4 linked regions of the Macaca mulatta genome follow. The protein of the gene in region 1 purifies or fractionates together with the protein of each later gene. This does not show direct contact. Links are inferred from orthologs where the notes say so. Each region holds a gene or a part of one and is shown in the gene's direction. Other genes may lie near its edges.

Region 1 (4,110 bases):
GGGGCACGTTCTCGCGAGGTTTAGGAAATTTCCCACGGCCGTGTTGTGTCTGAGCCGAGTAGTGGAAGGCGGTGGGAAGGAGGTGTAGCGTGAGACGCGACTGCCCGCATTGGGTGCATGCGCAGTGCCGCTCGCGCGGGCCGCGCCAATCCTGCAGCGCCTTCAGCAGGTTTCGGGCGGCGAATTCCAGTTCTCCGGGTTTTGGGGCTCCCTGCGGGAGGCAGTGCTGGATTGGGAATCTCTAGGAAAGGAAAGGGCAAAGGAGGGGAAAAATGGGGGGCTGCAGGTAGGAGGAGGGGGCGGGGTTCGGGCTCTGCACCTTGCTGTTCAATGCCCGGCGGGGCCAGGTTCGCCCGGGGGCTTCCGGCATCAGGCCGCCTGAAGCGCGATTCGGGCAGCCGGCAGCGTCTTCGGCTGTGCCAGGCCCTCGGGTGGCCCGGTTCCCTGTGCAGTAGTGGCCTCAACACACACCTGGGCTCACACACGGTGGCGGCTGCGATGGGGTCTTAGAGAGGCCATGTGGCACGCGAGCTGCAAGAGCTTTGATCAGGGCCTCTGGCCCGACTCGGAGGTGGGAGAATGTGGCTCTCAATTCCAAGGCAGTTTTCCCTTCTGGAGAGAACTACTCCGCACCCTGGCGTGTGTCTGCGAGGTGGCCATTAGGGGTGTCTTTCCCAGAGGCCTTGACTTGACCTCATTTCACACCTAAGGAGAACGCTAAGCCGAGAGAGCTCAACTGCAAAAGTTTTCCGTTTGCGGAGCTCTGGAAGGGCCTCCTCATTAGCATGGGGGTGTAATGAATGAAGACAGTTCCCGACGTGTCACTTGCCCGAACCCCAGGCACCTCTGACGCTCCTGCACCTAACGCCGAAATTAGCATAAAGGAGGCGCCCAGGGAACGTCTGAATGAATGAAAGGAGCTGGGAACCCAGAGTGAGCGGGAAGCCGCTTGGAAAACACCCATTGAGGAGGTGTTTCATCTAGGCCTGTGAAACGCGGCCCATTTTCCCAGGACCCCTCCTCCCTTCTCCTCGGCCCCGCCTCCTGACCCCTCCATTCCCCGTCCCCGTAGTAATCCCCTCCGGTTTTCCTCAGTCTCCACGTACGTCCCTCAAGGCGCGTCCCAAAACCTGGATAACCGGAGCGCTCCCCATGGACCACACGGAGGGCTCGCCCGCGGAGGAGCCGCCTGCGCATGCTCCATCGCTTGGGTAGGTTTCCAAGGGAGGCAGCGAGCAGGATCCCCTACTCTGCGGGCGGCGCGAGGCGTCTGGCTCTTCGCGGCGGCGGCGAGGGGAAAGGGAGCGCGGGGGCTGGGTGGAATCGAGGAGTGAGGAAAAAGGGAAGGGGCGGGGGAGAGGGACCAGGGAAGGCGTCGGGGGGAATCTCGCGAGGGTTGGAGTTTTGGCGAGAGTTTGTGGAAGATGGCGCCTGTTGTGACAGGGTAAGTCCGAGGGAATCGGAGCGCTGGGAACCGGGAAAGTTGCGGGCGTCTGGCAGCCCGCGGCGAGCGGCGGATTCGGGGGCCGCAGCGCGCTTGGCGTCCGGGGGCCCGCGGGGGCGGCGTCGCGTGCGCCGAGCGCGGCGGCGGCTGCGGCGTGTGACCGTGCGCTGCCTCTGCGCTGCCGTGGCTCGGGCTCCGGCGCGTGAGGGCGGGAGGCGGCGGCGAGGCCGGCGGGTGCGGGCGTGAGTGCGGCCGGGCGCGCGGGGCCCTCGGGCGCCGTGCCTCCCGCGCGCCTCCAGCGGGCCCTGCCTGGGGGCCCCGTGCAGCTTTGTTCCTCGCGGCCGTTGTCGCCGCCTCGCCCCGCTAGTGCCCCCGGCCCCGGGCGCTTTGTCTTTCCCCGCTGCCCCCCGCGACTCTCTACCCCCGGCCCTTTGTTTCGCCGCCTTGGGCGCTTTGTCCGACCCGTGGCGCCCCGCATCCTCTTTCCATCTCCTCCCCTCCGCTGTCCTTCCTCCCGTGCCCCTTTGTTGTGCCCCACTCTTGTCGGTAGCCCAGTGACCTGCCACAGCCCGGGCACCAGATTCCTGTCTTAATTGTTCTTCCATTGTCTTTCTCCTGTGGGTCCTCTCTCACCTTTCTCTGCGGTCCTGGATCCCCCCCCCCCGAGGCGTTGTCTCCCCCATCCATGGGCTTATTCTCTCGGCACCCCCTTCCTCTCCCGTCATCGGTTGATTTATCCACTACCCCCGGTGTACGTCTGCTGAACTGTCTCAGCCCCGGAGACTCCATCTGCTGCTTCTAAGTGCACACAGACTCTACGGTTTGTTGTTGTTTTGTGAGTCTGAAAGATGCATGGGATACTTAGTTTCCTCCTCCGCACCCCTTTTTCTCGGGATTTCTTGCACCCCCCGCCCCCCCATCGCCACCCCTTTCTTTCGGGATTAAAGCGTCTCCAATTTTCATCGCCGTCTCTTTAGTGCGGTGGGTTGTTTTGCTTGGAAACAGTAGCCCTGGAAAAAGGTCTGGTCTCTTGGTGGTTCTTGCGTCCCCCGGCCCCCGGCCCCCGCCCCCCTCCTGGTTCCTGACGGCCTAGGCCAAGGGCAGCTGTCTGTCGAAGCTTTGCATTTAGGTTGCCTGAGGATGATTGGAGGGTATCGTAGGACGGTTAGAAGGAGGCTCAAGATGTATATATGTGTTTTTCTGTTAGTGTTTGAGAATAGTTTCAGATATCCACAATGGATATTCATTTGGCATGTGAGTAGGAGTTGAGTGAATTTCCATGTTGAAAACTTGTGAGTGTTGGGGCGGAGAATTTCAGCATTTTCTAGAAATCTGGATTTAGAATTTATCAGAAACTCCTGCCTCATAAGGAAAAGGAGAGGCATTCCGGTTGGGAATTTTATATAAATGTTTTACTTTTTCTTAATCATTAGATGGTTTACAGTTATGTGCGTTTTTGCTGCTCTGTGGATGCGTGACAACCCTTCTGTCCCATCACTGGGGTTGAAATGAGGACAGCACCGAAGAGTGCAGTTTCTGATTGATGAATACTGCTTCTAGGATCTTTGTGGAAGATATTAATCAAATGCAGTAAAAAGTATACGTAAAGATGTATATTATATATATGTAATAGCCTGTAGTGAGATTATTTTAAAGACACTTCCTAGTGTTAAAGGACCCTTGAAGTGTTCTTACTGTTTTGGTAATGCTAAAAGCTTGGGGTTGTGTGAATGGGGATGGGGGGTGTGGTGTGATGTCTTTTAATGAGTTATTCTCGTGCTAGGAATAAGAGTTATTATATTTACCAGGATTACTATGCTGAATGTATTCTTCAAGAGTGAGTTTGTTTCTACTAGTTGGTCTCTACTTTTAGAAGGTATGTTACACATAAAATCATTTGGAGTGTCATTTCATTTACAAACTGAAGTTCTACAATAGTAAAGTGTTGTTTATAGAGGACATATGAGATCTACTCTAACGAGTATTGGAGCATTGGAAAGTATTTTTTTTTTCTGGCTGTGATTAGAATTAGTAGTTTGAGTTTTAATTAATGGAAAACCATGGTTTCATGATTGATACTTAAGTTTTTTTTTGTGAAAATCTGCAGTCTGGGTCGCATGAGTGGGTTTTACCAATAATCTTATGTCTCCCTTACTTGTTCTTGTACATAATGATTCTTTTGAAGGTAAAATCTTAAGCTCACTGGTTTTCTGACTGGGAGCAAAGTGTAAATACTGTGTAATAATGGAGGGTATTTTGCTCTGACTTGTACCTGTAGAATGATTACACAGACATGATAAAAGCGCTTTTACCATTTGAGTTGCGTTTTTCTTTCTAAATCGTGTAAGACTTTTACTTTGTGGTGAAATAAAACTGCTTTTAATTAAATTATAACAGCAGCATATTTCGAAATCTGGATGAGTTGTGGCTGGAGAACTTTCATTCTGAGTATTAACTATTAAAACTTTAAGTTTTATTATCCATGCATATTGCTGATGGATCTGTGATTATATTTTCAGAAAATGAGACTTGCAGTATTTTCACATCTGTACTGTTCAAAACACTTGTAGGCTTTAGATTTTAAGCAGTTAGATTTGTTAAAAAAATTACCTATTGTCCTATACCAACGGATTTCTGTCAATTTTTTTTTTTAAGTGGGTAAGATC
Region 2 (2,716 bases), on another chromosome or scaffold:
TACTGCAGGGACCCCTTGCAGGGGAAGAAGTATGTGCAAAAGGATGGCCACCACTGCTGCCTGAAATGCTTTGACAAGTTCTGTGCCAACACCTGTGTGGAATGCCGCAAGCCCATCGGTGCGGACTCCAAGGTAATGGGCATCCCCACGTGCCAGTGGGAAGGGCTGGGCTTCAGAGTGTCCTTTACCCACAATCATGGCAGCAGCAGCTGGCCGTTAGGATTTCCCAGCATCACTGCAGCCACCTTGAGGCCTCAAGGAAGCCTCCTCCACTCCCCAGGCCACAGTGGCCCAAGCTGTTTAATGTGGGGCTTGACTGGATGGGTGACAAGGCCATTGCCAGCTCTTCTGATTGCATTCTAAATATTTCAAGAATTGTGAGATTTTTATCCTCATCTCAGCATCCCTCCTATCACTCATAAGAACAGTCACTGTGGGGCAGTCCCTAGGTGTAAGGGACTGTGTCATCTCGGTGGTCAGTCCCAGGGAAATCAGCCTTATGGGAGGGCTCCTGCTGCCACCCCCAGCGCCCCTCATGTGGCCCACCCTGTCTGCTTGGTTTCCAGGAGGTGCACTATAAGAACCGCTTCTGGCACGACACCTGCTTCCGCTGTGCCAAGTGCCTTCACCCCTTGGCCAATGAGACCTTTGTGGCCAAGGACAACAAGATCCTGTGCAACAAGTGCACCACTCGGGAGGACTCCCCCAAGTGCAAGGGGTGCTTCAAGGCCATTGTGGCAGGTACTGCCTCCTTCCCACCCCGGGTTCCCAGGGAGGAGGCCCTGAGGGCAGACGTGATGTGGGCTTGCTTAACACGGTGGGGCTAACGTTGCTCTGAGCTGCTTTGAGATATTAGCATATATATGTACACATATACATACACGTATATATGCGTACACATATATGCTCGCACACACGCACACACTCGGAGACTAAAGAACACTGGCGAGAACAGCCTGTGGCAAGAGAATGAAGTGAACAGTATGTAGCGCTTTCTCATTTGGGCGTAGTAAGTGATGAAAGCATGCTTCTTCCTCAGGGTGTCATTCTGGGCCATGTAGTCCCTGATTTAATGTCTAAGTGCACGCAGGGTATAGAGGTGGGGGAGTGGGGCATTCAGGCACCGGATCCTAAAACAATAATGCTGGGGTCCCCACCCATGACAGAAATCCTGGGTTGGCACAAGCATAAGTAGAACACAGGTAGGTTAGTTGGAGGTGTGAGGCCAGTAACTGCAGGGCCTGCATCCCCTCACCTCTGGAGGGCCTGGGGAGGGGAGCTGAGTGGATGCAGCCCCCTGCAGAGCCTGTCAGTGGGGCTATCCAATTGCTTCCCCCTGCAGGAGATCAAAACGTGGAGTACAAGGGGACCGTCTGGCACAAAGACTGCTTCACCTGTAGTAACTGCAAGCAAGTCATCGGGACTGGAAGCTTCTTCCCTAAAGGGGAGGACTTCTACTGCGTGACTTGCCATGAGACCAAGTTTGCCAAGCATTGCGTGAAGTGCAACAAGGTATGCTTTCAAGGGAGTTCTGCATTGACCGTTGTTTCTAGAAGTGTTTGACAGTTTGCAGAGCACTTCCACACACACTATCCCATTCCATCCTCATGACAGCCCTGTGACGTAGGAATTATTATTCCCGTTTTACAGATGAGGAGATCGTGGATTAGGAAGCAGTGCCGAAGCCAAGTCTTGGGCTGTCGGTATGCATCCTCAGCCCGGTGGTGTGGGTAGCCCGTACGGCATGCTAAGCTGGGCAGCCCTGGCTCCAGAGGCCTGCCTCCACCACTAAGGGGTTGTGTAACCTCACATAGGGGCTCACTTTCTCCGAGCCTTGGTGTCTTCATCTGTAAAGTGGGGATAATAATAGCCCCTGCCTCCCATGGCTGTTGTGGAGATTAAATGAGATATTGTATACCAAAGCGCCCAGCACAGTGCCTGGCACGCAGTAGGCATTCAACAAAATGGTTGTTGAATCTGAATCCGGTGCTACACTCCCTGGTCTAGGCCATCACATCTGGAGGAATCACTTACCAGGATCAGCCCTGGCATGCCGATTGCTTTGTGTGTGTTACCTGCTCTAAGAAGCTGGCTGGGCAGCGTTTCACCGCTGTGGAGGACCAGTATTACTGCGTGGATTGCTACAAGAACTTTGTGGCCAAGAAGTGTGCTGGATGCAAGAACCCCATCACTGGTAGGCTAAAGAGTCCTTGCTAAGTCTGCCAGGCTAGGTTTTGCGCATGGTAACCATCTCTCATTTTCCTGTCGTCGGTTTCATCCACAAAGGCCCCCAGAGTATGCCCTTCTCCCCTGCTATTGTGGTCCCAAAGGCCCCCCAAGAGTTTGGATTCGTCCCCAGGCCAGGTTAGCCTTTGCAATACACAACACTTCCTGACTGTTGACTAACAATGCCGGAAGTTCACAAGCCTGACACCTGCCGGCCAACACCGGCAGGCACTGCCACTTTGCAGGGGGATTCTGCAGGGAGGGGTGGGAGGAGGGTAGAAAGAAGGGGGGTGGGGGAGGTGGGGAAGGGAAAGGGGGAAGGGAGGCCGAAGAGTGATAATCTGGGATTGTCATACCCCATATTTGAAGGCTAGTTCAGAGATGCCTGTTGGCAGGGTTTCTTTTTTTTTGTTTTGTTTTTTGGTTTGCTGTTTATTTGTTTTTGCGATCAGCAAAGCTAATCACTTCATTCCTCATCTCGCGGCCGCGA
Region 3 (2,283 bases), on another chromosome or scaffold:
GATTGCCGTGATCTGTGATTGTGCCACTACACTCCACTTGAACGACAGAGTGAGACCATGTCTCACAAAAAAAAAGAAAAAGTGGAGGCTCTAAAGACTAAGGTTATACTAATTGTGACTCTCGATTGCAAGTGACAGAAAACTTATTCAAACTGGCTTTCCCAGGAGAAGGCATTTGGGGCTCCTGTAAGAGGGGCTCAAACTGTGGCTGGAACTGTCTGTCTCCACCTTAGTGCTACTTTTCCCTGCATGCCGTTCAATCTCCAGTAGGAAGGAGATGGCCACAAACTGCTTTGGGCTGACATCCTATCAGCTTAGCAAGAAGTAAAGTCAGGTGGCAGAAAAACATCTCTTTCCTAGTAGTTTCTGCAAATGTCCTAAGGCAGATTCTGATTGGAGAGGCTTGGGTCATCTGGCCATTCCTGAACCAATCCATGTGGCCAGGAGGATGGAATATGCAAATTGTCCAGGCCTGGGGCACATGCCTGGGAATTGGGTCAGGATGCAGGGGCAGTGGATGTTTCGCAAGGTAAAATCAGTGGAGACCAGGGACAGTGGTGCCACAGAAGGCTATGGCCTCGCTATAGGTTTCAGACTGGGAGACAGGGACTCCTGGGATCTGCAGGGAACCCTCCTCTGCTGCTGCCAGTGCCTGGGGATGGGTGGGAGAGCTGTTAAAGTTTTGAGGGGTTGTTCATCCCCCCGCTCATGGCGTTTATCTTCCCTTTGCCAGACTGATCAGCCACACCCCGTCTTACTGTGATGAGTCGCTGTTTGGCTCCCGATCTGAGGGCGCCAGCTTCGGGGCCCCACGGATGGCGAAGGGGGATGCCGCAAAGCTCCGTGCTCTCTTCTGGACACCACCAGCTACCCCCAGGGGTAGCCACTCGCCCCGCCCCAGGGAGGCCCCACTGCGAGCCATTCACCCAGCTGGTCCCTCCAAGACAGAGCCGGGGGCGGCGGCAGACTCCCAGAAGTTATCCATGGATGGGTTACACTCTTCATGCCCCCTGAGGCGGGGACTTTCCCATTCCCTCACCCACCTGAATGTCCCCAGCACTGGTCATCCAGCCACCAGTGCCTCCCACACAAATGGGCCTCAGGATCTCAGGCCTTCCACATCAGGGGTGACCTTCCGGAGCCCCCTGGTGACTTCCAGGGCTCGCTCAGTTAGCATTTCAGTGCCAGCTACCCCACGACGAGTTGGGGCCACCCAGAAAGCAAAGCCCCCTTGGAAATGATACTCTTTCATCAGGGTTGCCTATGGGGCCACAGCGAGAGGTGTAGCCCCTTGCCAGGGTAGGAGGACATTCATCACCCAGGGAACCCCAGGTATGAAGCCCCTGTGGGGGCAGACAGACATAGCAGGGGTGGGCAGTGCCTCCCTTTATCCTGACAATCTCTAGTCGATTCCTGCCTTTTTCTCCCGATTGCGGATGTGGGGGCCACCTCTAAGATGCCGTCTCCAGCCCTGTCTCAACCACACTCCAAATTAGTGCCAACCTAGGGGCCTGGCACCTCCCACATCATCCATTTTCTTGCTGCCAAGTGCAAATAAATGGTGTAATTGCCAACCTGGAGGGTCCCCTCTCCTTCAAGCCAAGCTTCCTGCTCAGGATTAGTTTCCAACTGAGTCTGCAAGCCCTAGAGGAGTTTTCCCAGACTCTGTGTGAAGCCTGGAGAACACAAGGGCAGCTGCGAGATTTTTGAGTGAACATTGTTTCATCTTAATATGCTTCTGTATTTATTTTCATGTACTAAATATATCAGCTTATCAAAGCCATGAATGTTCCTTTTTTTTCCCCCTTAGGGTAAAGGCCATTGTTAAGCCTGAGTTGATTTAAATAACAAAGTTAAATACAACAGGTAGTACAAGGATGTGGCAGACAACATGACAGTGGTGAGTGGGTGACTGAAGTTTGGGAACCCGGGGCCTCAGGAATTGCTGGACTCTTCCTCCCATAGGCTTCTGGCTAATGCTACTAACTTGTGGTTGGCCAGCTCTTCCTGAGCTCAGAATACAGACAATAGTATTTTTTTAGTTTTGTTTTTAAGTTTGTATGTGTGTGTGTTTGTTAAGGTGGGAAATAAAACAATGGCTAGGACTATGCCAAGTGGAGGGTCCAAGAAAGCCAGACAGTGACACGTGTGTCTGCAGAGCACTTAGAATGCAGCCCAGGGCTTAGGAAAAGCAGCAAAGCCTTTGCACAGATGGAATTGCACCTGGATTGGGCAGTGTGGGCTGGGCTCTGGGCCTCTCCTTGCCCCCATCTTCCTGTAAGG
Region 4 (3,500 bases), on another chromosome or scaffold:
TTCCTGCAATTTATGAAAGCTAAAGTGACTTCAAGAAGCTGAAGTGTGATTTCTCTTTTTTTGGTGGGATTTAAGTCACTTTTCTCACCCATACTGTCGTGTGAGTTGGTACTTATTGTGGAGGCAAGACAGAGTAAGGGACTGGCCTGTGCCAGTGACAGGCCAATCATGCTGAGATACAGTGAGTGTTTTCTTCCTATGCTCAGATTACCACAGGCTTAGAACTGAACTCTCTCACACTTGCTCCACCTATGGCTAGTTCCCATTCCAGCAAAGTTTGTTCAGTAACTTGTAGTGACTACTTCTGCCTTTTAAAGCTTTTTTTATTTTTTATTTTCTGAGGCCGGCACTGTGAAACCTTCGTCGATGTGTGTCCCCAGATGCCCTGCCTGAATGGAGGGACTTGTGCTGTGGCCAGTAACATGCCTGATGGTTTCATTTGCCGTTGTCCCCCGGTAAGTGCCCTGTTGCTCATCTAAGAAGGGGCATTGTCTCTTCCATACAATCTGTGACAGAACTGAGATTAAACCTGGTTTAATCAGTCTTCCAAATGGGAAGATTTCTCAGTTCTGCTCTTTCACAAGAAAGTACTTGGGTTCTTCCATTTAAAGCTGTTTACAAGCGACAAAACAAAACAAAAACAAAAGTAAATAAAAGCTGTTTAGATACTCCCAGAAACAGTGAGCTTTCCAATCCATGACTGTCAGTCTTAAGAAAAACTAAGGGAAAACCATAAAAAGTGGTGGAATGCCCCCTTGAAAATAGGGCTGATGTATGTGGCTTCTTGGCCCCATGCTGGAGGGTAATCTCACTGCCCAGGTTGGGCCAGAGTTGGTGGAAATGCTGCTCTGCTTGCATTCTTTAGCAGGAACCATTTGAAAGCAAGTTGTCTCTTAAAGTAGAGGGAAGCTTAATTTTAGCTCTTTGCTATACCCATTCTTTTATTACTGCCAGAGGCTGAAACCTTCCCAAAACAAGAGATCCCTATGCCTCGGGAGATACCAAAAGGAAACCTGTCTAGTAACCTTGGCTTGGGCTGAACAGGAAGTACAGAAGGGAGTAGTGAGATGTGGAGGTTTTCTAGAAACCCAAAACTTCCAATATGACTGTTTTCCTACCAATGCCATTTTTATTTCCTCACTGATTTCCACAGGGATTTTCCGGGGCAAGGTGCCAGAGCAGCTGTGGACAAGTGAAATGTAGGAAAGGAGAGCAGTGTGTGCACACCGCCTCTGGACCCCGCTGCTTTTGCCCCAACCCCCGGGACTGCGAGTCAGGCTGTGCCAGTAGCCCCTGCCAGCACGGGGGCAGCTGCCACCCTCAGCGCCAGCCTCCTTATTACTCCTGCCAGTGTGCCCCACCATTCTGGGGTAGCCGCTGTGAACTCTACACGGCACCCCCCAGCACCCCTCCTGCCACCTGTTTGAGCCAATATTGTGCCGACAAAGCTCGTGATGGCGTCTGTGATGAGGCCTGCAACAGCCATGCCTGCCAGTGGGATGGGGGTGACTGTTCTCTCACCATGGAGAACCCCTGGGCCAACTGCTCCTCCCCACTTCCCTGCTGGGATTATATCAACAACCAGTGTGATGAGCTGTGCAACACGGCCGAGTGCCTGTTTGACAACTTTGAATGCCAGGGGAACAGCAAGACATGCAAGTAAGGGCTTCACGTTTTCCAGAAGCTGAAGGGGACTGTCACTAACACACTTCAGTTTCTCGTTCTTGCTCCTAACCACTCCAGTGCTTCAGCCTAAGCTGCCTCTGCTTTTCAGATGGTGCCAGCCTTGTCCCATCGCACACTACCCTGTGCTCTCCCTTGCTGACAAAGGGCCAGGAATGCTCATTGCATAATGACCCTCTCTCTCTGCCTATCTCTGCCTTCTCACCTGCTGCCTTCGTGACCTCCTGGGGGATATAACTTTTGGAAGTGGTGTTTCCCACTTCAAGCAGCCTCTCACATAACCTGCCTGCAGGATGGATGGAAAGGTCTGTATCTCTCTCTTCACCCCATTCCTTTCCCTAAGACTGTTTTTCCCCACCCAGGTTTATCAGGAAGCATGAATTAGATTAGGCCTGTGAACCCTCCTTAATTGTTATAGTTGTAGGATGCTGTATGGTTTACTTAGGAACTTTCCTATTAATTAGCCATTCCATCTAATTTAATCCAAGTTAATTCTCAACAACCCATGAGGCATAGGTATTATTAACATTCTTTCATAGGTGAGAGAACTTAGGCCCAAGGGTTAAAGAACTTGCCAGAGCAAGTTGTTTCATTGACTCCTAATCTTTTGATTGAGATAGCATGAAAAGTTGTACCAAGTAGTATAAATATCAAGGGGTAGGGTATGAGGAGAGGAGAGTGTAGATGAAATAGTTTGTACATCATTTAGGTTTGGGGGTTCTAATTCCTTTTGCAAATATTGAAAGAGCCTGTACAAGTAAGGTCTGGTGTGCTACAAGGACATACCCATCCCCCTTTACCTTCTGTAGCTGGGATTCGCTCTTGAAAGGGAAAGAAATGGGTCATGTTAATATGGTTCTCTATGGCAACTCTCAATGGTTCAGGGTCATTTATCAAGTTTCTAGAGGCATCTTTCACTTCCTAAAGCCCGTTGTTACCTTATTGGGGACAATGGATACAAAGTAGAGGAAGCATGAACCAGGCTGACTTTTGTTTCAGATATGCAGCTTTGTTTGAAAACCTGACTTAACAGGATTGTAAACTGCCTGGGAGTCCCTAAGCTCCTGCAGCGTAGTGAGTACAATGTTCTTCATTTAGGAAGTACACAACAAGGATGAGTGGCGTAGACTATACATACTCTATGACATCAGGGATAGGAGATGCAAAGAAGGTTTTGTGGGGCATTTGGGTCCTGGGTGTGGGCCACAGAAAATGGGTAGGAAAATCCACAGTTAGTTCCAAATGAAAAAGCAAATAGAGCTCCAGTCTAATCTGAGCCCCTTTCTCCTGTTCTCTGCTTCCCCTTACCTAGGTATGACAAATACTGTGCAGACCACTTCAAAGACAACCACTGTGACCAGGGGTGCAACAGTGAGGAGTGTGGTTGGGATGGGCTGGACTGTGCTGCTGACCAGCCTGAGAACCTGGCAGAGGGTACCCTGGTTATTGTGGTATTGATGCCACCTGAACAGCTGCTCCAGGATGCTCGCAGCTTCTTGCGGGCACTGGGGACCCTGCTCCACACCAACCTGCGCATTAAGCGGGACTCCCAGGGGGAGCTCATGGTGTACCCCTATTATGGTGAGAAGTCAGCTGCCATGAAGAAACAGAGGATGACACGCAGGTCCATTCCTGGTGAACAAGAGCAGGAGGTGGCTGGGTAAGTGTTTGGTTTCTGAACTTCAAGGCTAATTTTATGAAGCCTAGCACTTTGATATGTAGCACATGTCATAACTCAACCTATAGAAATGCAAATATCAGACAAATAGAATGGCCCACCACTTAAGATAAACCCATTACCCCAGTACTTATGTTTA

The links.
Region 2: the proteins of RBPJ (region 1) and FHL1 purify together in Homo sapiens (affinity purification with western blotting; 4 studies listed by BioGRID and IntAct, with this or other methods). This does not show direct contact. The link is inferred for Macaca mulatta from reciprocal best matches to the Homo sapiens genes RBPJ and FHL1.
Region 3: the proteins of RBPJ (region 1) and RITA1 purify together in Homo sapiens (affinity purification with mass spectrometry; 4 studies listed by BioGRID and IntAct, with this or other methods). This does not show direct contact. The link is inferred for Macaca mulatta from reciprocal best matches to the Homo sapiens genes RBPJ and RITA1.
Region 4: the proteins of RBPJ (region 1) and NOTCH2 purify together in Homo sapiens (affinity purification with mass spectrometry; 3 studies listed by BioGRID and IntAct, counting the BioPlex papers as one, with this or other methods). This does not show direct contact. The link is inferred for Macaca mulatta from reciprocal best matches to the Homo sapiens genes RBPJ and NOTCH2.

Annotation. Positions count from the first base shown.
Region 1 is NC_133410.1:25,359,663-25,363,772, forward strand, and holds the start of RBPJ (recombining binding protein suppressor of hairless), read left to right. Parts: upstream 1-1,310; 5' UTR 1,311-1,424; coding exon of another isoform or gene 1,425-1,444; intron 1,445-4,110. UniProt on the Homo sapiens protein: Transcriptional regulator that plays a central role in Notch signaling, a signaling pathway involved in cell-cell communication that regulates a broad spectrum of cell-fate determinations.
Region 2 is NC_133426.1:142,534,965-142,537,680, forward strand, and holds part of FHL1 (four and a half LIM domains protein 1), read left to right. Parts: coding exon 1-132; intron 133-566; coding exon 567-764; intron 765-1,293; coding exon 1,294-1,512; intron 1,513-2,007; coding exon 2,008-2,194; intron 2,195-2,716.
Region 3 is NC_133416.1:120,434,792-120,437,074, forward strand, and holds the end of RITA1 (RBPJ-interacting and tubulin-associated protein 1), read left to right. Parts: intron 1-733; coding exon 734-1,241; 3' UTR 1,242-1,783; downstream 1,784-2,283. UniProt on the Homo sapiens protein: Tubulin-binding protein that acts as a negative regulator of Notch signaling pathway.
Region 4 is NC_133406.1:120,363,114-120,366,613, forward strand, and holds part of NOTCH2 (neurogenic locus notch homolog protein 2), read left to right. Parts: intron 1-342; coding exon 343-455; intron 456-1,153; coding exon 1,154-1,659; intron 1,660-2,995; coding exon 2,996-3,343; intron 3,344-3,500. UniProt on the Homo sapiens protein: Functions as a receptor for membrane-bound ligands Jagged-1 (JAG1), Jagged-2 (JAG2) and Delta-1 (DLL1) to regulate cell-fate determination.